Arabidopsis thaliana: one gene and its partners. The protein of the gene in region 2 interacts with the protein of the main gene of each other region in a pairwise test. Each region holds a gene or a part of one and is shown on either strand. Other genes may lie near its edges.

The links.
Region 1: the proteins of CEST (region 2) and AT5G49540 interact in a protein complementation assay, tested with the Arabidopsis thaliana proteins (one large-scale study listed by BioGRID).
Region 3: the proteins of CEST (region 2) and TBL18 interact in a protein complementation assay, tested with the Arabidopsis thaliana proteins (one large-scale study listed by BioGRID).
Region 4: the proteins of CEST (region 2) and UBC34 interact in a protein complementation assay, tested with the Arabidopsis thaliana proteins (one large-scale study listed by BioGRID).

What each region holds. Positions count from the first base shown.
Region 1 is NC_003076.8:20,103,933-20,108,226, reverse strand, and holds AT5G49540 (Rab5-interacting family protein), read left to right. Parts: upstream 1-1,948; 5' UTR 1,949-2,242; intron 2,243-2,601; 5' UTR 2,602-2,617; coding exon 2,618-2,715; intron 2,716-2,813; coding exon 2,814-3,009; intron 3,010-3,119; coding exon 3,120-3,139; coding exon of another isoform or gene 3,140-3,149; exon of another isoform or gene 3,150-3,392; coding exon 3,393-3,423; 3' UTR 3,424-3,746; downstream 3,747-4,294. Other genes in the region: AT5G49555 (FAD/NAD(P)-binding oxidoreductase family protein), read left to right, coding at 1-91, 154-233, 327-447, 538-604, 687-816; BLOS2 (biogenesis of lysosome organelles complex 1 subunit-like protein), read left to right, coding at 1,071-1,154, 1,226-1,525; AT5G49530 (SIN-like family protein), read right to left, coding at 3,985-4,044, 4,132-4,252.
Region 2 is NC_003076.8:18,011,198-18,016,137, reverse strand, and holds CEST (death domain associated protein), read right to left. Parts: upstream 2,990-4,940; 5' UTR 2,743-2,989; coding exon 2,398-2,742; intron 2,322-2,397; coding exon 2,277-2,321; intron 2,192-2,276; coding exon 2,078-2,191; intron 1,608-2,077; coding exon 1,527-1,607; intron 1,248-1,526; coding exon 1,080-1,247; intron 936-1,079; coding exon 846-935; 3' UTR 704-845; downstream 1-703. Other genes in the region: AT5G44660 (uncharacterized protein), read right to left, coding at 1-328; BGLU13 (beta glucosidase 13), read right to left, coding at 3,469-4,940. UniProt on the Arabidopsis thaliana protein: Nuclear genome-encoded factor that participates in photosystem I (PSI) biogenesis. Cooperates with the plastid genome-encoded protein PSI assembly Ycf3 in the assembly of stable PSI units in the thylakoid membrane.
Region 3 is NC_003075.7:12,967,593-12,973,144, reverse strand, and holds TBL18 (TRICHOME BIREFRINGENCE-LIKE 18), read right to left. Parts: upstream 3,587-5,552; 5' UTR 3,394-3,586; exon of another isoform or gene 3,157-3,393; 5' UTR 2,959-3,156; coding exon 2,439-2,958; intron 1,932-2,438; coding exon 1,657-1,931; intron 1,548-1,656; coding exon 741-1,547; 3' UTR 501-740; downstream 1-500. Other genes in the region: AT4G25370 (Double Clp-N motif protein), read right to left, coding at 42-77, 181-398. UniProt on the Arabidopsis thaliana protein: May act as a bridging protein that binds pectin and other cell wall polysaccharides. Probably involved in maintaining esterification of pectins. May be involved in the specific O-acetylation of cell wall polymers.
Region 4 is NC_003070.9:5,916,299-5,922,290, reverse strand, and holds UBC34 (ubiquitin-conjugating enzyme 34), read left to right. Parts: upstream 1-1,948; 5' UTR 1,949-2,312; intron 2,313-2,314; exon of another isoform or gene 2,315-3,093; 5' UTR 3,094-3,128; coding exon 3,129-3,185; intron 3,186-3,388; coding exon 3,389-3,443; intron 3,444-3,856; coding exon 3,857-3,895; intron 3,896-3,977; coding exon 3,978-4,041; intron 4,042-4,141; coding exon 4,142-4,203; intron 4,204-4,269; coding exon 4,270-4,327; intron 4,328-4,404; coding exon 4,405-4,432; intron 4,433-4,596; coding exon 4,597-4,688; intron 4,689-4,868; coding exon 4,869-5,145; 3' UTR 5,146-5,459; downstream 5,460-5,992. Other genes in the region: AT1G17285 (uncharacterized protein), read right to left, coding at 1,004-1,073, 1,179-1,576. UniProt on the Arabidopsis thaliana protein: Accepts the ubiquitin from the E1 complex and catalyzes its covalent attachment to other proteins.

The DNA of each region.
Region 1 (4,294 bases), 2.1 Mb from region 2:
TGTCATGATTCTGAAAATGGCTTACCATCGAGAAGACCAGTGATCGAAATGACTATTCCATCCACACTAGACAACACCATTTCTCCCCCAGGTACACATTCTCCCCCTTTTGCTTGTTTAGGATTTGAACTCTGAATGTGATTTTGTATGTAGGGAAGCATGTAATCAACTTGTTCATCCAGTACACTCCTTACAAGCCCTCAGATGGAAGCTGGGAAGATCCTACTTACCGAGTTAGTTTGTTATACACGCTTGGCTAAACATTCCTTTACACTACAAGACATGCCAAACCCATCTGGATTTGCTTTTGCTTGTGTAAAAATCAGGAAGCCTTTGCACAAAGGTGTTTCAAACTGATTGATGAATATGCACCCGGGTTTAGCTCATCCATCATTAGCTACGACATGTTGACTCCTCCGGACCTGGAACGGGAAATTGGTCTAACAGGTATATAAAGTGAAGTACTTGGAGAAAGATCCCAAGTACATGCGACATGGCCAAACCATATTGACATGACTGCCCATTTGTATTCTGCAGGCGGAAACATCTTTCACGGTGCCATGGGATTAGACTCTCTCTTCCTGATGCGCCCTGTGAAAGGATGGTACGTGACTCCGAAGTACTCAAAACAGTCTTTACGATTTATGATTATGAAATTCAAAACTTTGTTGGACTGTGTGAAACAGGTCAAATTACAGAAGCCCTTTGAAAGGTCTCTACTTGTGTGGCAGCGGAGCTCATCCTGGAGGCGGAGTTATGGGTGCACCTGGAAGAAACGCTGCACATGTTGTTCTTCAAGACTTGAAAAGAATCTAGCGAGTATAATCTCAGACTGTGCAATGTTAACTCTCATGTGTAAGTTGTTTGTTACTGCTCTGAAAACCTCTGTCGTAGGGAGAGGCTTACAGACATGGACAATAGTTGATATCAACGAATAATAAGCCTCCACGTGTAGCTTAACCTAAATATCACTAATTCAACAAATATGGAAAGTGCCCTAAACAACAGAAGAGCCATTGTTTATTTGTCTTTGTCTTTGTCTTTGCGAAAAGAAGTAAATATCCTCATCAATGGCGGATTCACGAGATGATCTAGCTGAATCGCTACAAAATCTATTCACGAGTGTTTCATCTATGGTCAAATCCGAGCTCCAGGTGAAAATCAATCCGAAATTTTACAGATTTATTTGTTTCCACAGATCTGAAATTGAATTGGATAAAAATAGGGAACGAACAACCATCTAGATCTATTGGAGAAGATGAACCTGAGAGTTGCGTCAGAGTACGATGATATGGGTGACGTGGCAGCTGGGCTCAGAGTTTTCGCAGAACAGATGAAATCAAAAAGTGGTGGCTTGGATGAATTTGTAGGACAAATGGATGCTATCGAGAAACAAGTGTCGGAGTTTGAAGCTGTGATCTCTGTTCTAGATCGATATGTCTCTGTCCTAGAATCTAAAATCCGAGCTGAGTATCGTCATCCTCATCATCAGCGTCGCTCTAATGATTCTGTTGTTACAGACTGATGCATTGTAGCAATAATTAATTTTTATCATTACTGAGATTGTTGGAATCGAGATCTGGAATGCTATTTTGGTTTTAGTTGATATTGAAGCTAGATACGAATACGACGAATGATTTTGTCTACATTCGGTTTAAGTTTAACCAAAACTGAAATTTGCATAAATCAATCTGGAACCAAACCAAACGAAAAGCACCTAAGTTTTTTTTTTACCGCTACTCCATATATAACCATTTACCGTACTTACTAATGCATTGGTTAAGTGTTTTGTTAAACATATTAAAACCTCCTAAGCAAACAAAACCAAACCGAATTAATTTCAGTTTGAATGTAATAGCGATGGTTTTATAAAACCAAAACTTGGAACAAACTGAACTGCTCATCTTTAGTAGTAAGTAACGAATTTTCATAATCACAAATTGTGATGTATAATCATGTTATCCGTTTCAATATCAAGAAATTTAACTAGCATAGTTGGAGAGTGTTGTTAATTTTGATTAGTAGTGGACAATCCGGTTTAAGGTTTGGTTCCGGTTCGATTTTACGGTTTATATATTACTTGTTTTCTCTGTGTTTTTCTTTTGTCTAAAAACACTCTAAAGAACTTAAAGATATTCGTCTGATTGTTCTCTCTCAAATTGGCTCATCCTCTCCATTCAATTCATCCCAAGTACCAAAGCAAGCTACTTCGATCTTCCTCTTACTACTCTCGTTTCTAATTGTAAGTCTATATCAATTCCTTTTCCAAAGTTTGTGTAGATCTCAAAGTAGTAGATCGGAAGAGATCGATAAAACCAGATCGATTAATCATAGTTGCTCCCACTCTCGACTACTTAAGAGATAATCATAAAGTCTTAACCTTTAGGAATCGAAATTTATTGTGATGCTTAGATAGCGAAACCCAGTTATAGAATCATTGAATCAATTAGAAACCCCTAATTTTCCTGTGGAAATTTGCTTAAAATCAATACTTTTTTGGGTTTGTAATCTATACACTTACTCTATGATGTCCAAGTTCTTCCTTTTTTGTTACTGTAATGTAAAATCCAATACAAAGATTTGAAATTTATGTTGTTTCAGATTGTTGTTATCTTAAATGGGTTCATCTGAGAAGAGATCAAAGGATATCATGAGTGACATACCAACTTTCAGTGCAGAGAATTTGCAGAACAATTTGAAAGTCATTCAAAACAGGTCTGATTCAATACAATTCTCTCTCTTTCGTTTTCTTAAAAAGATGATGGTTCTCGGGTTTTTTGACTTGTTATCCCTCATTTTGTTCGTGTTTGCAGCCGGACGTTTCTGTCTATCATAGCTGGTGTCTTAGCAGGAATAATTGGATTCAATGGCTTGATTGGTTTTGTATTTTACTTTGTGGTGATGTTGATCACATCTGTTGGGCTCATGGCTAAGGCAGGATTCTCAGCTGACTTGTACTTTGATTCGTGGAATCGGGTTCTTTTTGACGGTTTTCTTGGTGGCCTTATGGTATATCTTCATTTCCTTTTCTTATTACATTGTTTGTTGCTTCAAGATACATGTTGTTGATCCAACCTGTTAATCTCATACTAATCGCGGTGTTGTTTTCTTTTTCGCAGTCGTTTGTGCTGTTCTGGACGTATCCTTAAACTCAATTTGGTGGTCATACTCATTTTATGATAATGTGCAAAACTAAATCAAAGGTTGATTAGCTTTATGGAAAAACATCTATGGTATGGTGTAGGTAAAAATGATTAGCTTCTTAAGAACCTGTGATTAACATAGAAATGGCCTTTTTGTTTACTTCGTGTAGAATCAAGTATATGCGCAACTCGAAAACAGCTCTCTCTATTCTCTGTTTGTCTCAGTAGGTTTCCTTAACAATGGAGTAGATTTGCGTATGACTTGGTGCACATATTCTGAGGGAACTTCTGCTCCAGATGAGGATGGTGAAACGGCACACAAGATTGAGTTCGGGTTTTGCAGCCTCTTCATCTAAACTGAATTAGATTGACAATGTTTCTCTTGTTCCCTTTTTGAACAACAGTTTATGAGTTCGTATTACCTTTTTTTGTTATTTGAGATCACATCAAACTGTGAAAACCTTTAGATTGAAAAGTTTCAAGTATTTACACTTTCTTCCAATTTCATGTGTTCACATTGTTGTTTTCTTTTTTTTTTACATTCTTGCATGTAAAATATATTCGAATATGCTTAAGATTTCAATAGAGAACATTAGAACACTCTCTGTCAAGTTTGAACTTAGCCGTCTATGTGTATTGTATAGTTCTTTTGTTGCTTCTTATGTTTATTTTCCTGTGTTGGTGTGGCTTGTCTTACCAACTCTAGTTGAGTAATAGAAAAAAGGTTGTTTGATTTCAAAAAGGAAAAACAAAATATGAATATCTCATAACTACTGAACCGTTTACTCATATCAAAATTTATAGACCATTAAAATCTAGTCATGATGATTTAATAAACTCATCATCGAGCTTTCTGTAAAACCCATCCTGAAGAGTTGGTTTCACAGATCTCGTGCATCACCTGTCACACAACACACAGAGTTTAGAGACTAAAACTACGCTTTGGTCGAAACACAAAAAAAAAGTCAAAGAGAGCTCAAGTGAAGACCTTTATATATTCGTTGTTGGTGATTTCACGTTCAAGTTTGGTCCTGCCTGCTGCAAATACCTCAGCCTTCATAAGCTTTGTTCCAGGTGGAGATCCGGTTAAGAGGCTAATGACCACTTCCCTGATGATAAAAACAAAAAAAAAAATCAGAGAAATTAGAGAT
Region 2 (4,940 bases):
GCGCCCGCATGAGACCTGAACGTTGTTTAGGAGAACCAGTAGTCTGCACTGGCTGCAAAGGAAGAGGCATAGGCGAATCTAAGTCTCTAGGAGGTGACATTGCCGGTAAACGAACCATATCGAAGCTATCGTTCCTTCTCAACGAACCCGACATAGACAACGACCTGATTGATTTCGGATCCATCGATATCTCTCTCTCGGATTGCATCATACTCGTTTGCTTGACTAGAATCTTCTTCTTTGAATCGTTTCTGCTTAGAACTTGCCAATCCTCGCGAGCACTTTCGTCTCTGAAACTAATAGTTGGCATAAGTACTGCAGCCACCATTTTATTTTCCGACCTGAAATCTCGATCTGTAAGAAGAGAAATTGACAAATGGCTAAGTCTTAGTGCTAAAGAGAAGATGAATACTTATACAGAGCCACAGAGAGTAAGCATGGACCGCACGTTTGGTGGCTTAAGGTAGCTACACTGAGTCATGATATGCACGTCCAGCTTTTTTTTCGTTTCCTGCGTATTAGTCTCAGCCAAAGGTTATTGACTTTATTACTATAAACATAAACAAATAATATAAGCTTTAAAATATTTAACATCGTTGACATGAGACTATGCCCAAGATTGAGACAGGATCTGATCATGATAGATATGCTCGCACGAACCACATTTATTTTAATATTACCGAAGGTTTTGGAGTACTTTACCTGGAATTTGTGCAGACCACAAGCCGTTGTATAAGGAAGAAGATGATTAAATAATTGAAAAACTCATTTCATGTTCTTAAGTTACAAAACATCAATGATGGGTCATTGGTGGTGGTGTGTATAACAACTAAATGGATTTGACTCTACTGTAGGGAATTGTAAAACAAAATTAATACAACAGAGATACCAATGATAACTGGTAAAGCTGAGACGAAGTACAACGCTCCATAGCCCTGCAAACGGATTAAGAACAAAAGGCAGGAGAAATATCAATCAGATTTCAAAAAGTCAAATACGGAACGCTTAAAATGTTGTGAAAGAATAACGATTTCCAGGTCAAAGCTGTGAAAGTGTTTGAGAGTGATATGGGAACAAACCGCGACTTTGGTTACTACTCCTTGTTCATCATCGACATCGACTTCTTCAATTGCAGCAGCTGAATCCCATTCGACGTTGAGTCTCTTGGCTGCTTCTTTTGGATCTATTCCAGTGTCTGTGGATTTAGCGTACATTGACTTTCCTCGTTGCTTCTTTGAAACCTCAACCTTATAAGATAAATAAGATAAGGTGTTAAGATAGGGCTTTAAAACAGAGTTCTGCTTAGCTAACTAACTAAATGTATATAGCCGTCACCAGAGTTACACAAAAGAAAAGAGATCTCTTCCATTATAGTTTCTAGCATCAATAGGAACCATTACGGATTATGGATTTAAATTGCCTAAGGAGAGATGTCATTATAGATTTATATTGCCTAAGGCAGTTTCTTCCTATCAGTCCCACCAATAGGCAACAAAAAACAATTGTGAGGTACAAAGAAGAGGTACCTCTAAATTTGGCCAACGGATCATTTCCTCATGCAGCATCCGAAGAGTTGCACGATCTTTAGGGATTTTCCCATCATTTACCTGTGTAAAGCAATCAATTCATTTTTAAGGATCTTCATACTAATGCCACTTAATAACCCCATGTCGCTACAAAGAGCAAACTGCTCAACTTGGTGTTGTCAAGTGAGATTTCTATCACAAGCACAGTTACGCCTTGGAACAGTTTTGCATACTTAGCTTATATATTAGACTAGCCATCACAATGTTACTTGAAACCAGATATGTGACAGATCTAAGTATGAAAGCAACTCAACAAAAGGTTGGTTGAGCAGTGTTTCCATGTAAAGACTGTAATAAGCTGTACAACACTCTTACTCAACAGTAACCAACTGATTTACAACAGCATTCTGTAGACCCTCCTTGAGCCATATATGAGTTCATTTTCACCCTCAGCAGAAAACTGATGTCTATATGGCTCATGTACCAGTCACACAACACACTTAAGTTTACTATTAAGGTAATGGCAGACTCAAGATAATAATATATATCACCTGTTCCAAGGCTTCAGCCAAATCATCTCTGCTTGGAGTATCTGCATCTTCTATTCCAAGAAGCCTCCTTCTTTCCAGTTCCCTTGGATCCTCAATCATAATAGTCAACTTAACCTATAATATGCAAACACACACAAAGCTCGGGCTTAATCAAAACCAATACTAAAAACCAACACAGAACCATGAAAATGTAGCTTACCTCACTGAAGATCATATCTCTATTCCTCCTAAGAAGCTCAATTACCTAAACACACACAAAATACTTCAGTACAATCTGATTCAACTATCTACAATTTCACTCAGCCAAAGGAATCACGAACCCGTTTGATTTCATTGACGTATTTGAGATCTTCAGGATCTACATCTCCTTCATCGATTTCATCTTCTTCATCATCTCGATTTTGTTTCTCCTTCTCTTGTTGCTCCAAAGTTAACGGAACCGGAACTCGAATCTCCGTCACGTCTCCTTTCTCCTGCTTAACTATTAAACTACCAAATCTCCGATTGTTCTTCCTCCGCTTCACCCAAAGACCATCGGAAATTCCATTACTCTTACAAATTACAATCGGAGACGGCGAAGAAGAAGCACCGTAATTCCGTTGGCCGGTGGAAGAAAAACTCGAAGCACAGTACTTTAACGGCAACTGAAATATCTGCGTCGTCATTTCTTCAAAAAAAAATGTGAAATTCGTTTCTACAATTTCACAGATTCTGCATCTCTGAAGATATAGTTTCGATTGAAATTTCCAGAGGAAGAAGACGATCAAAATCTCAACTTTGCCACTTTTAATCTTAAGAAAGGGAGATTGAAAATTTGAATTTTTATAGATTGGAGAATAATACGAGTGGCTGAGACATGTAGATAGCCTCCGAACAACTGCTACTTGGATAATACTATAAAATTACTATTGTGTTTTCCATATTTAGGATTCCCCATATTTAAGGGGTTTTGCATCGAACTTGCCAATTTTTTTCTTTTTTTCTTTTATCTCTAAAAGAATACATACTCATTTTATGAAATCAAAAATAATAAATAATATAACTTTTATATTTTGCATTCATGATTTTAATATCTCAAAAAAAACTAATAATTTTAATTATTTTAATATAATATTCAATATAGAGTGTTATTTCATCAACTATTTGTTTAAATATTTGATTCTTAAAGTACAATTAATTTATCAATTCTAGAATACTGAAACTTGAAATATTGGAAATGTTTCATTTAATATAGTGTCCACAAAATTTTTACATTTGAATCACTATTTTAGTATTCAAGTTTGATAACCAAACAATATTTATAACAGAACGATAAATTGTTACTCAAACAAACTACACATCGTGCATATATTAACCTAGTTGGTTAATATAATGTAATGATGCATGTTTCATCAATTCCTTTTCTTTTCGCTCAATAACTTTCTGAACCATTTTGCCGATTTCTTTGGATATCTCTTACGTCCATCGTTGAAATCCACGTAAACTAGTCCAAATCGGACTGAGTAGCCCGTTGCCCATTCAAAATTATCTAGCAAAGACCACGCAAAGAATCCTTTAACATTGGCTCCAATTGATATAGCGTCTTGAACCATCTTCAAATGTTGAGCGTAGTAATCGATCCTCTCACTATCTTTAAGGTCGATTTTACCGGTACTAGCTTCATCTCTACCATTCTCTGTTATATACATGACAGGATCCTTGAACTTGTATTTTGCATAGAGAAGGAGATCACGAATTCCTTTTGGATATATCAAAAGCCAATCTGATGCTGCCTTTGGACCGATAGGCACTCCTTCTCTTTCACCTGTGACGCTAGCACAAGGATCAGAGAATAATGTAACGTTTTCGCTTGAGCAAGGAACATCCTTAGCGTAAGAAGATGAGTAATAATTGATGCCAATGAAATCATATGATCCTTTCAACATCTTAGATTGTTTTGCAGTAAATGTAGGTAAGCGACCGTCTTTTACGTTGTTGACCATGTCAACCGGATATTTACCGGTTACAAGCGGCTCCATGAAATAGTCGAATGTGAAGGCCATGGCTCGTGCCGCAGCTAATCTATCTTCAGCTGATTCGGTATAAGGCAAGTTCCAACCCGCGTTCAAAGCGATACCAACTTGACCTTTTTGAGATGCCTTATATTTTTCTCTATATACTTTGACTGCTTCTCCATGAGCAAGAATGAGGTTGTGACCAACAATATAAGGCTCGGTAGCTCCATTTCCCGCGGTGCAATTAGGGTTTGTGAATTTTGAACACCTTCCAGGAGCCATTACACCAGCAACATATCCTTGTTGCACAACTGTTAATGGTTCGTTCAATGTCATCCAATGCTTCACTCGATCTCCAAAATTCTTGAAGCAAATATCCGCATAATCGCGGAAGTCATTCACAATCTCCGCGCCAAAGAATCCTCCGTAAGCATCTTCAAGGCTTTGCGGTGTGTCCCAATGAAAAATGGTGGCGAATGGCTTAATTCCTTTAGACAAAAGCTCATTGATCAAGTTGTTGTAATAGTCAATACCAGCTTGGTTGATACCTCCTTTTAGATTCCCACGTGGCAAGATCCTCGACCACGAGATAGAGAATCTATAGGCACCGAAACCAATTTGATGTAGTAAACCCACATCTTCCTTGTAAAGATGGTAAGAATCACTTGCAATAGATCCATTGGTACCATCTTTTATCTTCTCCGGATATTTTTCAGAGAATGTATCCCAAATACTTGGACCTCTACCATCTTCATGAGCAGCTCCTTCGACTTGGTAAGCTGACGTTGCAGCTCCAAAAATAAAATCTTTTGGAAAATCACTTCTTCTTAATTTAGGTGTTGAAGAGTGTTTCTTGGCTATAACTTCAT
Region 3 (5,552 bases), on a different chromosome or scaffold from region 2:
TACAATTACAAATTCTATACGTAATTTGGAGTGAGACTCACTTTGGGATCTTATCCGAAGAACCATTCTCCGGTTGCCTGAAAAATTCAACCTTAACACCCTAAGCTTCAATATCCGTGGTGAAAGGAAAAACCCAGAAATGATAAAGATGTAAAAGAGCTGTCAGATAAAAAAACTAACGCAATAGGGACGTTTAAGACCGTGCTGGCCGAGGTCAAGCACCGGAGCTTGGGGACGAAGCAGCGATGCGACGGTTGTGTCGCCAGAAGCTTCTTACCTAACAGAGAAGACGTTAGAGGAATCCGAGAAGAAGACGAGGGAGATCCATTCTGTCTCGAAACAAAGATCCGAGGATTAGAGAGCGTCAAAGGGATAAAGGAGACTGTGTACGACGCCATTTTCACTCTTGAGGAATCAAAAGCTTTTGGTCGGGCTTTGGGTGAGTCAGTGAGATAGGCGATTATTACTCAGCTATTTTGCAAATGCGCCCCCCCCAGTTTATATAATTTATGAAATTTCGACTAGTATGAATAAACTTGAACTCATAACTCCCAAATCTTAAATTTCAATCTCAGGACAAACGAACCAACAAGTATAGTGGAACAAATTCTAATCCTAACTCACCGTGCCTAGCACAAATCTACAAGTGAGTTTATCTTTGAGTTTATCAGTAACCAAGAATCAGATTAATAGTATAAGTCGTGTAATATGCTCTCTCATCCTTTGAGTTTCAAACCAAGTCAAGTTGATGAGCTTTTCCTGTCTCTCCTTATGAGCTCCAAGACCATTTCGTTCCATGTATCGACTGGTCCTGGCATGCACCAGTGCAAGCAGTCCTGAGGTGGAGGCCGTCCGTCTGGTCCCCGTTTAGTGATCTTGTTAGGGTCAGGACTTCTGAATGGACCAGGATGACCATCATGGCGATATCCAAATGCCTCTGTGATATCCATCAGCTTTAGTTTTAGCTTCAAATTCTCCGCGACTTTATCGACGGCTTGGTTATATCCTGTCGCTTGCTTCTCATGCATTATCTCTGTGAATCCGTTTTTCACTAGCTTCCCTGGAAGGATGGGTTCTTCTTTCCCCGTGCATGATCCACCTGTGTTCCAAGCACCACCTTCGTAATGATCAGGTGAGAATGTTCTCACAATGGTCAAACCGCTGTAGTTCGGGTGTGTAGCCATGGACTTAAGGATTGTTTCAACTGATATTCCAAATGCATCCACGTTATTGACTTTCATGGGTTTTGATTTGTCTGGCCACCATAATTGGCCTCCCACGATCTCTTCTTTCAATATGTAGACAGACTGCTTTGCAAACCAGTGCCCTGATGAGAGGACAACCACGTCGAATTTCGGGATAGCTTCCATTATGCGCTCATCAGGAAGATCCAGCTTTAGTTTTGTGACACCTTCAGGAGCATAATCGAATTTTTCGTTGAACTGATGAACAAGCCAAGATGACCAAATACGGGCAATCATTACTGATGATTGCTTAAAATACCATCTCTGCATCTTTCGGCTCCCACGATTGACTGGTGTTTCAACCTGAAAACAGAAACCTACTTTAATATAATACATACGATCTCCTGAAGCTGAATAAAGCAACACAATAGATCCCTTATACCGGTTTTCACCATTAAATTGAATTACTTGCCTGCCAAAGAAGGCACAACATGGACTCCATCTGATTACGAGCTACTGAATCTCCTATAAAGGCCAGTGTCTTGCCTTTCATAAGTTCAAGAAATTTTCTGGCATCAAACCGAGGAAGCTCACACTGAGACGGTTTCCATCTCCAGTTCTCATATCCCTTGTCAGGTCTTCCATTTCCCTGGCAATTCTGCATCTGCGTCAGGACAGGGCAAGAGTTGTTCGTGTAGAGAGGTCCCCCAGGATCATAAAACCAACTACCTTGATACAAATCACACTCTACAAGCAATCAAAGATTTGAGTAAGCGACAAACTCATAACAGAAATATAAAACATCGAACAGCTAGAATCATGAGAAGCAAGGGAAACTGACAAGAACAGATCTATGAAACTGCTCTTCTTATTCCAATTCACCAAAACAGGTAGAACTCTCAACCAAATGCCCACAAAGCCTAGAAACTCTAACCCCTAAAACAAAATGCTGAGACCACCTTACAAGCCCAGCACTCACTATCTGCTCCCTAACCAAGTTTTTACTCTAATCTGCTATATTCAGTCCTCGGCTAGAATAATTACAGTAGGTCTATAGCTAAGAGTTTAGCCGCTGAATTTCTTTAAAACTTCTCAGAAACTTACGCCTTTCCATAGAAATGCAAAACTAAATGTTCTATAACATTCCCACACTAGCTTAGTCTTTGTTTATTGAAATTTAAGCTACCATAACTCAAAATGTTCCAAATACGACAAAAGCTACGGAAATAAGCGTTTAAAAGATAACAACAGTACCTGGTTCTGCTGAAGCAGTTTCAGAGACATCATCTGGAGGAGATGATGCACTTGGAGTGTCTTCAGCCTTGGAAACATTGGTTTCACGTTCACCTGATTGAACATCAGTCTTTTCAGTTATATCCGAAGAAACCAAATCCTCTTTTTCTTGTGTCAAAGGTGTCTCCAACTTCCTATCACTACTGAAATCTGGAGGTGGTATACTTTTGCTAACAACAACAGGTAAGCCAGAGCTAGAATCAGAAGTCAGATTTTTATCAAACGCATTGATGTCACTACTCTTCTGAAGGATATTGACAGTATGGTTGCTCAAAGATAAAGGGACATGAACTTGTTCAGGATTCCCTATCCCATAAAATATGCCACCAACTGAAGAACTATTCGGATACGAAAGACGAAGCAACAATCCGAAAACAAAGAATGATGCCAAACCACCAATAGCAATTGCAACTGTAGACACTTTCCGAGGAAATCCAGCCGCAGCTAATATAGAATTATTCCTAGGAGAACCAAAAGCCATGGTTTCTTCACTAGTAGATACCCAGAACCAATACAAGCAACAAGAACCAGAGCTTATAGGTGATAATTCAATATCAACATTATTCAAAATGTTATCTTCAGGGGCATGCAATACGCAAGTGAACTAAGTGAATCTGTTACTTGATTCAATCTTCCACTGGATCACAGATAAGATTTCACCTTCTTCAGGATCTGGAATCTGGAAGAGCAACACTATGAGCAAACATACTTAAAGGCGAAAGAAGAAAACAAGATGATCGATCTAATAAATCATCAAATAGCACAAATCCAGAATATAAATGTGAATCTAACTCAGATTCAGCTCAAATCATTACGTATTCAGATTTTCAGAAAAAAAACAAACAATTTTTCAGAAGATTATCTTCTTCACTAAGCAGATCCAAACGAAGAAGAAGAAGAAAGAGAATCTACGAACCTAGAGAAAATGATCCTTGTTGTCTTCTTGTAGGTGAAGCGAGCTCAGAAGATTCAGAAGAAATCCACAACAGTGAAGACGCGAAATCAAAAAATTAAACAAAGGTTAGTTATAGTTTTATTAGTTAATTGTTTTCCGGAAATAATCAAACGAATTTAGTGGTAATTTATTCCTTAAATTAATCATTTGTTTCTTCTTCCGGAGCCCATTAATGCCGTCTGTGATCTCATCGGCGCGTATACGACCACGCGATGATGTAAAGTTACGAAACTACCCTTCGGTCAACACCACCATAACATTGCGTATATTTCGAATTTTGTAACATTGCTAATATTTCGAATTGTTTGTTTGTCACTTCGCGTTATATGACACAACGATTGTTGTTTTCACATAAAAAAAAAAACCCTACTAGTCATCATCTAATGTAACACTCCAGCATATGACAAAATCGCCGAAATATTATTTATTATTATATAGGTAAAATAGAATTACAATATGCTCTTCTATAGTATATAGTAATCTAAAAAGTTGCATCATAAAATAAATTATTAGAAAAAGATCGAAAATAGGTGATATATCATATCATCATTACAATAGGTGTGAGTCGTCCGTCGCCTCTGACTGGTCCTTCCTTTCGGGCACGATAGCAGGCATAAGCCACTATCAGTGCGATGATGATTAATACACCGACTGAAATTCCAGAAATTGCGATAAACTTCATTGGATCAGTCCCCATGTTTGTTTTACCACACGCACCCAGAAAAAAGTTTATTTCTACTGTTTTTATTTTTTGTCATGTCTTCTTGTGACACAGTATGTTTACATTTATTTACAATTATTTACATTTCTGTTAATAAAGTCCGTGAAATTTGTAAGTTTTACATTTTATTATTTAAGAAAATTAACAAGGATGAACTGGAAAATTACACTTTAAAGAATATTAATTAGGAAGAAATAGAAATTATACATTTTTATGGTACTTTGTTGATCTTCATACCATCAAACTGGAAATTGTACATTTTAATAGAAAATTAACTATGAAAGAATAGAAAATTTACATACGTGAGCATGTAGTAATTTAAGGCTATCACAAAAATTCGACATTTTATTTCAGAATATTCTAAAATTTTGATATTTAGGTAGCACATTATCAAATATTGTAAAATAAAATAATGGCCAGGCTTATACGATTTGAGATTTGATTCGTATCCATGAATGCCATACTCGATGAGTAGTTACTGTTGTGTGTGTATTATAGTTTTTGCTAGTTAATGTTGTTTTTACTCCTACCGCATAAAATGAAATAATGAATCATCTATATATACATTTTTGCAGCCATTTTGTGAAATAAATCTTAGAGTTGGGACTTATTTACTAGGCTGCCATTGAGTATTAATTATTGATTTTTTTCCAGCAATAAATTGATTAATAAACTAAAAATATTCCAAATATATTCAGCAACTATTTAAAACAAAAAATGTTTGACAAACAAAAATATAATTGCAATCCCTTAAAATGAGCAAAACCCACCTAAATATATTCTTTATCTATCCAATAAATCTTTTTTCTCCAAAATTTGAACTAGATTTTGGCAACTATTTTAAACAAATATTTGTTTGACAAACCAAAATACAATTGCAATCCCGTAAAATATTTCTTTTAATTATATATTTAAATTAGCGGTGTACCGCGGTTTTTTTTTACGGGGCGGATTTGGCGAGACGGGTTTGGTAAGACGTTATTTAATAACAATTGTAAACTATAAAATAAAAATAAATAGATTTAATTTGCAAACTTTTATATATACTAATTTAAAAAATAAGTTGTCCGCGGGTTAAAATCTAGTCATGGTTATTTTAATTAGGTGAAATCAGCCTTGGATAATTTTAAAAACTAAAACCAATTGTTTGTAAGTAAAGAATTAATAAATTAGTGTAATTTCTAAGTTTTCAAATTATTATATAAATAAAATAAATAAATATGTATTTATAAGCACAAAAAAAGGAAATGGTGCGTATTCCTGGTACAATAGTTACTTGTCAGATCCCCATTTAAAACATCTCAAATTGGTTGAAAAAAAGTCACCAAAGAAAAACTAGATTAGCATCAAATGTTTTTAAAACTTTTAATTCTTCCATAACTCTTTCTAAGAAATAATT
Region 4 (5,992 bases), on a different chromosome or scaffold from region 2:
GAGAGGTCGTAATAAATGAAGGTGGTTTTTTCTTCTTCTTTTTAATTTAGTTTGGTACTAATAATAATAATGAACAATTAATTGGAGATAAAGAACTTCTGGATCGTGGATTATTCAGACAAAACCATGTGTTTTATTGGTCGGAGTCGGCGCGTAAAACGCTGTTAGAAATTGGACAAAATTTGGCCATTATGGGCCGAGTTACGGTTTAGAGACTCTCTTCCGGCCCAACCGGTTCGTGGGAAAAATTCATCATATTATACATGGGATCAGCAAAACGACGTCATTTTGGCGGCGGTTTTCTCAGCGTTTCCTAATAACAGTAATATTATTATACATGGGATCAGCAAAACGACGTCATTTTTGAGTAATGTGTTGGATGCCACTTTGTTTCTTCTTGGTCCAAAAGTTTGTAAACAATCTCAACAATCTGTATCGGTGTTTTAGAGAAGTACAAACTTACATGTCAAAAGGAATCTAGTGCTCACAGCTGTGATTACTTCTTTCATTGTTGCTGTTTTGCAGTGAGGAGTAATCACTGGATATCGAGATAGGCAGCTAAATAGTCAGGATATTGTGAGGTTTCCTGCAGAACAACTTTCAATTTTTTACGGATCTGAGGATGCATTTTTGAAGCATATAGAACCGAGAACATAGATAAAGAGGTTGATCATTTTATATTTAAGGTTTTAAGCACCACTGAGAACAACATGCTATGGCTGAGGATAAGTCTGCTGAAGTCAAATAAAAGAAACCACAAAGCAGAGAAAAGAAGAAGAACTCAAAAGATTAAAGAGGTTGAGAATAGTTTTGGAAAGTTAGACTACTCGAGCTAGGAGGCGTTTTAAATTTTCATCCTATCTTGATCGATCAATAAGATTAAAAGATGAGTTCATATATTTCAAGTAGATTACAGCATTAAAAGCACACATGTCTAGGTACCTATTCTACAAAAAAAACGAAAGTAGAGGATCTAAATAAGGACAAAAAAAGAACTGGAATTTTAAGGTTTTCTTGATGTTGTGATCTGCTGTTGTTTCCTACTTGCTTTAACATCTACCGGTGGATTACACCTGATACAAAAAGAAACACTTTTTGATGTCAATTACACCTAAAACTCATCTTTGGGGATACATAAAAAAAAAGAAAAACTAGATTGTGTCTCGTATCTTCTTTACTTGTTCTGTATAGGGTTTGAGCCACTCCTTGGGATTCTTCTGAAGCTATCATTTTCTCCCTTAAGTGGCTCTTTCTTCATCTCCTTGCTTACAGGCAAATCTCTCACAGCTTGACTCGAATGTGTCATCGTTAACAGAGAACGTCCTTCTACACTATACTTGCTGCTAAAGAAAGCTACAAGTAACAGAACCAGAGCCACTGAACAGCATCTCTTCATTCTGAGTTCTCTTCTTGAAATTTCCTTTAGGACTCTTGAAACCTCTTGACTTTTTCTTGTTCTGTTTTTCTGTGAACTGAGAAAATCTTGGATGGAGATGTGTGTTAGAGAAAAGAGAGACGAGAGACTTCTAAAGCTTGTTGGTTTTATAGAATAAGATTTATGTGTGTTTGAACACATAGTTATTGGGATCTGATCACGTGATCTTACTTTGACTAATGCTATTTAATCAGATGGTGAGATACTTATCTTATTCTTAATCATTTACTTACGATGATGATGATATTCCTCAAGCATCTACATTGAAACAATGATACAATATCATATGTAGAGACAAAGATCCACATATTCACATTACCTAACTCATGTAACTGCTTTGAAACTAAGAGATGGTGGTCATGTGATTAGAGCACGTGATTTCTGCCTACTGTTATCGGGGAACTCAAAAGAGGCTGAAACTTAACTTTATTGAAATTATTTTTTAAGCATAACTTTGGAATTTGGAGGTATTAGTGTAAGTCCAATTTCAGAAAAGAAAAAATTGCAGGTAACAGCTGTTTTGTCTCACTACTAATCACTAGTTTTTTTTCTTCTTCTGCAGCTATTTTTTTTATATTTCATGAAGAGAAGGAAAAATTGATTCCAAGAACCGGCACAGATTCTTTGATGAGTGGTGGAGAATAAAGAAATAGGGAAAAGTGCATTACGCAAAATAATTATTAAATCATTGATCCTCTAATAACGAACCGGAATGGATTATACAATACCGGTCTAACTTGTGTTGAATTTTGTTCGGTTTAGATAAACCAAGCGCGAGTTAGGCTAATTCTTTCTCTCTCTACCCGCGGAGAAGGAGAAAGTGAGATTAACGAGAAACCCCAAGAGAGAAAATCTTCATCGACAAAATTCGATTCAGGTGATCAATTTCTTTCATATTTTCGCAATTATTTCTTGGATCTGATGTTATCTACTTTGGAATTTCTTCGCTGCATTATCTTTTGATTTGTTGTTCTTGTTCCTTTGCGTTTCTGGGTAAGAGCGAAGCTTGAAATTGCAATTGGAATCTCTAACAAGTTTAAGACTTTGCTTTGATACGGTTTATGTGGAAGTATCTGTGATTTTCTTATATATTTATGGAAGATATTGCAGCTGATTCGAGTTTGGTTTGCCTATCATTGTTGCAATTTTCTCGGTTCAATCAAAGGATTTTCTAGGTTGATATATAATTCCAGGGATTTCCAGATAATTTCCTTTAATTTGGTTGGAATTCGATTGAATTTTCGTTGCTTTCAATTGGTTTGCAGTGATTTGGGTGAAAAGATTTTTCCAAGCTCATGGAAATTGGGGATTTTTATTCAAAGGGTGTTTCTGGTGATCATAGAGTTGTTTGACTCAAGTTTCATTTGATCTTGTGTGTATTTGGTTGGTTTTTCTTTTCAATCAGGTCATGAAAGTATTGCATAATAGCTAGAAGTATTGTTATCTCTGTATATGTGTTGTGAGATAGTACAATTGGTAAAGTTTCCATATCAATGGCACGAAAATCAACTGCAATTTACTCGTTTCGATATATGTTTTTATGTAGTTCATATATGTAATTCAGACATAAGGGTTTTATGTAGTCCATCTCATCAGTAGGTGGACTTTCACTCATATTTGTATTTCGTTTTGTTGATAATGTTAAATGGGTGTAACAGCTGCTGCAGCTATTCACTTCGTCCATAGCACGTAGATGGCAGAAAAGGCCTGTATAAAACGTCTTCAAAAGGAATATAGAGCACTTTGCAAGGTACACTCTCTTTACTTGTTTTTCTACCTCTCTCGAGCTGGAACCAGGATTCCATATTTTTATTGCTCAACCAGTTTTCTCTGTACTTTCAAATGATGCTGTATCTATATGTGAATGTTTTCTTGGTTTTGGTTTAGAGTAAGTTTCATATTTTCTTTTGTTTCTTTGGGGGTTATTTAATATGTTCTGTTTTTGGCCTTTAGGAACCAGTCTCCCATGTTGTTGCTCGTCCTTCCCCAAATGACATTCTCGAGTGGCGTAAGCCTTCCCTATCTTTTTTTCTTAATCTTTATTCCTGCTGGCTTCCTGTAATCCTGTTGCAAGCGTTTCTATAAAGATGTTATGATAAGTATATATGATGGACATATTTGCTACACTTGTGAGTATACGTTAAACTAAGAAAAAATGGGATACTACGATCTAAGTAGACAGAAGAGGTCTCACATTACTTTGATGGAATAGTGAAGACTTATTTATCAAAGGTTTATATGTACTTACAATGCATAGATTTGATAGTTTTCTTCTCAATTGTGAAAGGCTGTCAGTGTTACTGTTAGCCTGATAGCGGTTAGGGAGTTTCAGTCTTTCTATTATTACTGCATTTAGTATGTTAAAAAGGGTAGCTTGATCTCTTACTAAAATAGAGTTAAACTATTGGATTAATCTTACAGATTATGTGCTGGAAGGCAGTGAGGGAACACCTTTTGCAGGTGAAAATCTTCTTTTGAAAGTTTCTTGTTAGTGTTGTCTTACGCAGTATCTTATTTTTGATACTAAAATTCTCTTTACCAGGTGGATTTTACTATGGAAAGATCAAGTTTCCTCCCGAGTATCCTTACAAGCCACCAGGGATTACGTATGTTCCAATGGTTCCTCCAAATTCAGTCTCAACATTACTCTTACCTCATTTTTTGTCCAGTTTTTTAATGAACCAAATCTTTTTCTGTTTGCCTCAGAATGACTACACCAAATGGTCGATTCATGACACAGAAGAAAATTTGTTTATCTATGAGTGATTGTAAGGACAATCTGCACTTTCTGTTCATTATTTCGTATCAATTAACTTGTCTAATATCGAAATAAGTTGACATGGCATTTACAGTTCATCCAGAAAGCTGGAATCCGATGTGGTCTGTATCAAGGTATAGATTCTTTCTTTACTTTTGGAAGATGACAATCGATATACCCGTTGATAACCAACTTTTTTTCATGAATGCAGCATACTTACAGGACTTCTCTCATTTATGGTAAGCTCACTGTAGGTTCTACATATTTATGGACATCTTGTTTGAAAATTCTCATATTCTTATATTGTAATGGTTTATTAGCTTAGATATGAATATTCAAAAAGGAAGTCTATTTTTTCTTTTCTGTTCTCAAGCTTTCTCTAAACGTTTTCCTTGCGGCGCAGATGGATACCAGTCCGACAACTGGAAGTGTTAACACTACTGTAATTGAGAAACAACGGTTGGCTAAGTCATCTCTCGCTTTCAATTGTAAAACGTAAGATTTTCCCATCATCAAAAAATTTCAAATTCTGGATTCATATAGAAGCTAAGTTTAGTTATCTGTGGTTAGGATAGTCATAAAAGCTGGTTAGATAACGAATATAGGAATGAATGCAGTCCTGAGATTACATGTTTTCGGTATTTCACCTGAATCCAATGTTCTTACTTGTGACAGCCCAGCATTTCGAAAGCTATTTCCAGAGTATGTAGAGAAGTACAACCAGCAGCAACTAGCTGAGCAAGCTACCACACAACTGACAACACCAGAGTCTCCTCAAAAGAGCGATACCAAAGTCGAGTCAGAGAAAACCATCGATCCAACAAAGGGAGATTCAGAAGGTGGCTTGAAGGAGAGGAAAAAGAACAATAAACAGGGATTGCCAGCGTGGATAATACTGTTGCTAGTGTCGGTTTTCGGTGTGGTAATGGCGTTGCCTCTGCTTCAACTGTGATTTCTATGCAACAAACCTCGACCTGGTTTTCGTATAATCTCTCCTTGTGTCTCTCTCTCTTCAGCATCAAGAGTAGTCTCCTTTTGTCTAGTGCTCTTCGTCTGAATTTACTCATTTAGCACCTCATGGTTTGTGCTTGTAAAAGCAGATAACATAAGTTTGGTTTCACAATTACATACATATTGTAGCTTCGTTGGAACTACTTTGTATAGTATATATGAATTGAGGATAATGGTTTGGATTTGAAAAATAGAACCGTATGGTTTTCAAATTGTACTTCTCCTAGAGCTCACAGGTTAATTTGTCAATTTATGTAAATACTCTGGTGTAGTAACTTGATGAAAACAGAAGTGACAGAGAGAATACACAGACAATAGTGAATAGAATTGTTAGGTATATTGGGCCAATTAAGCAATTGTCCCTTTAGGCCCATTGGTAAGAAAAGGAAAAAACCATACTTAATGATAAATTAAAACCGGTATGGCTGTACCGGTTCAATCTGTCTTCAACCACCGACGTTGACTTGTTACCAATCTTCTTCTTCTGCTCGAGTCCAGTCCAGTGAAAGTGATTATGTTTATGGTTAATAATGTTAACTCTATAATTTAGTGGGAAAAATGTTATTTAATACCTCAACTTACAAAAAATGGTCAAATTAACCGTGAACTCGTGAAATGGCCGTTTTAACTTTCAACAAAAAGTTGACTTCTGTTTTAACATTCAAGTTTGCGTTGACTCGGCCTAATTAACCACCGTTAAAATTCCTTCTAACAGCGTAATTGACAGACGTTACAGAACATCCGTTAAGGTGATACGACGACGTTTTGTGCTATCAACAGACTTCAAA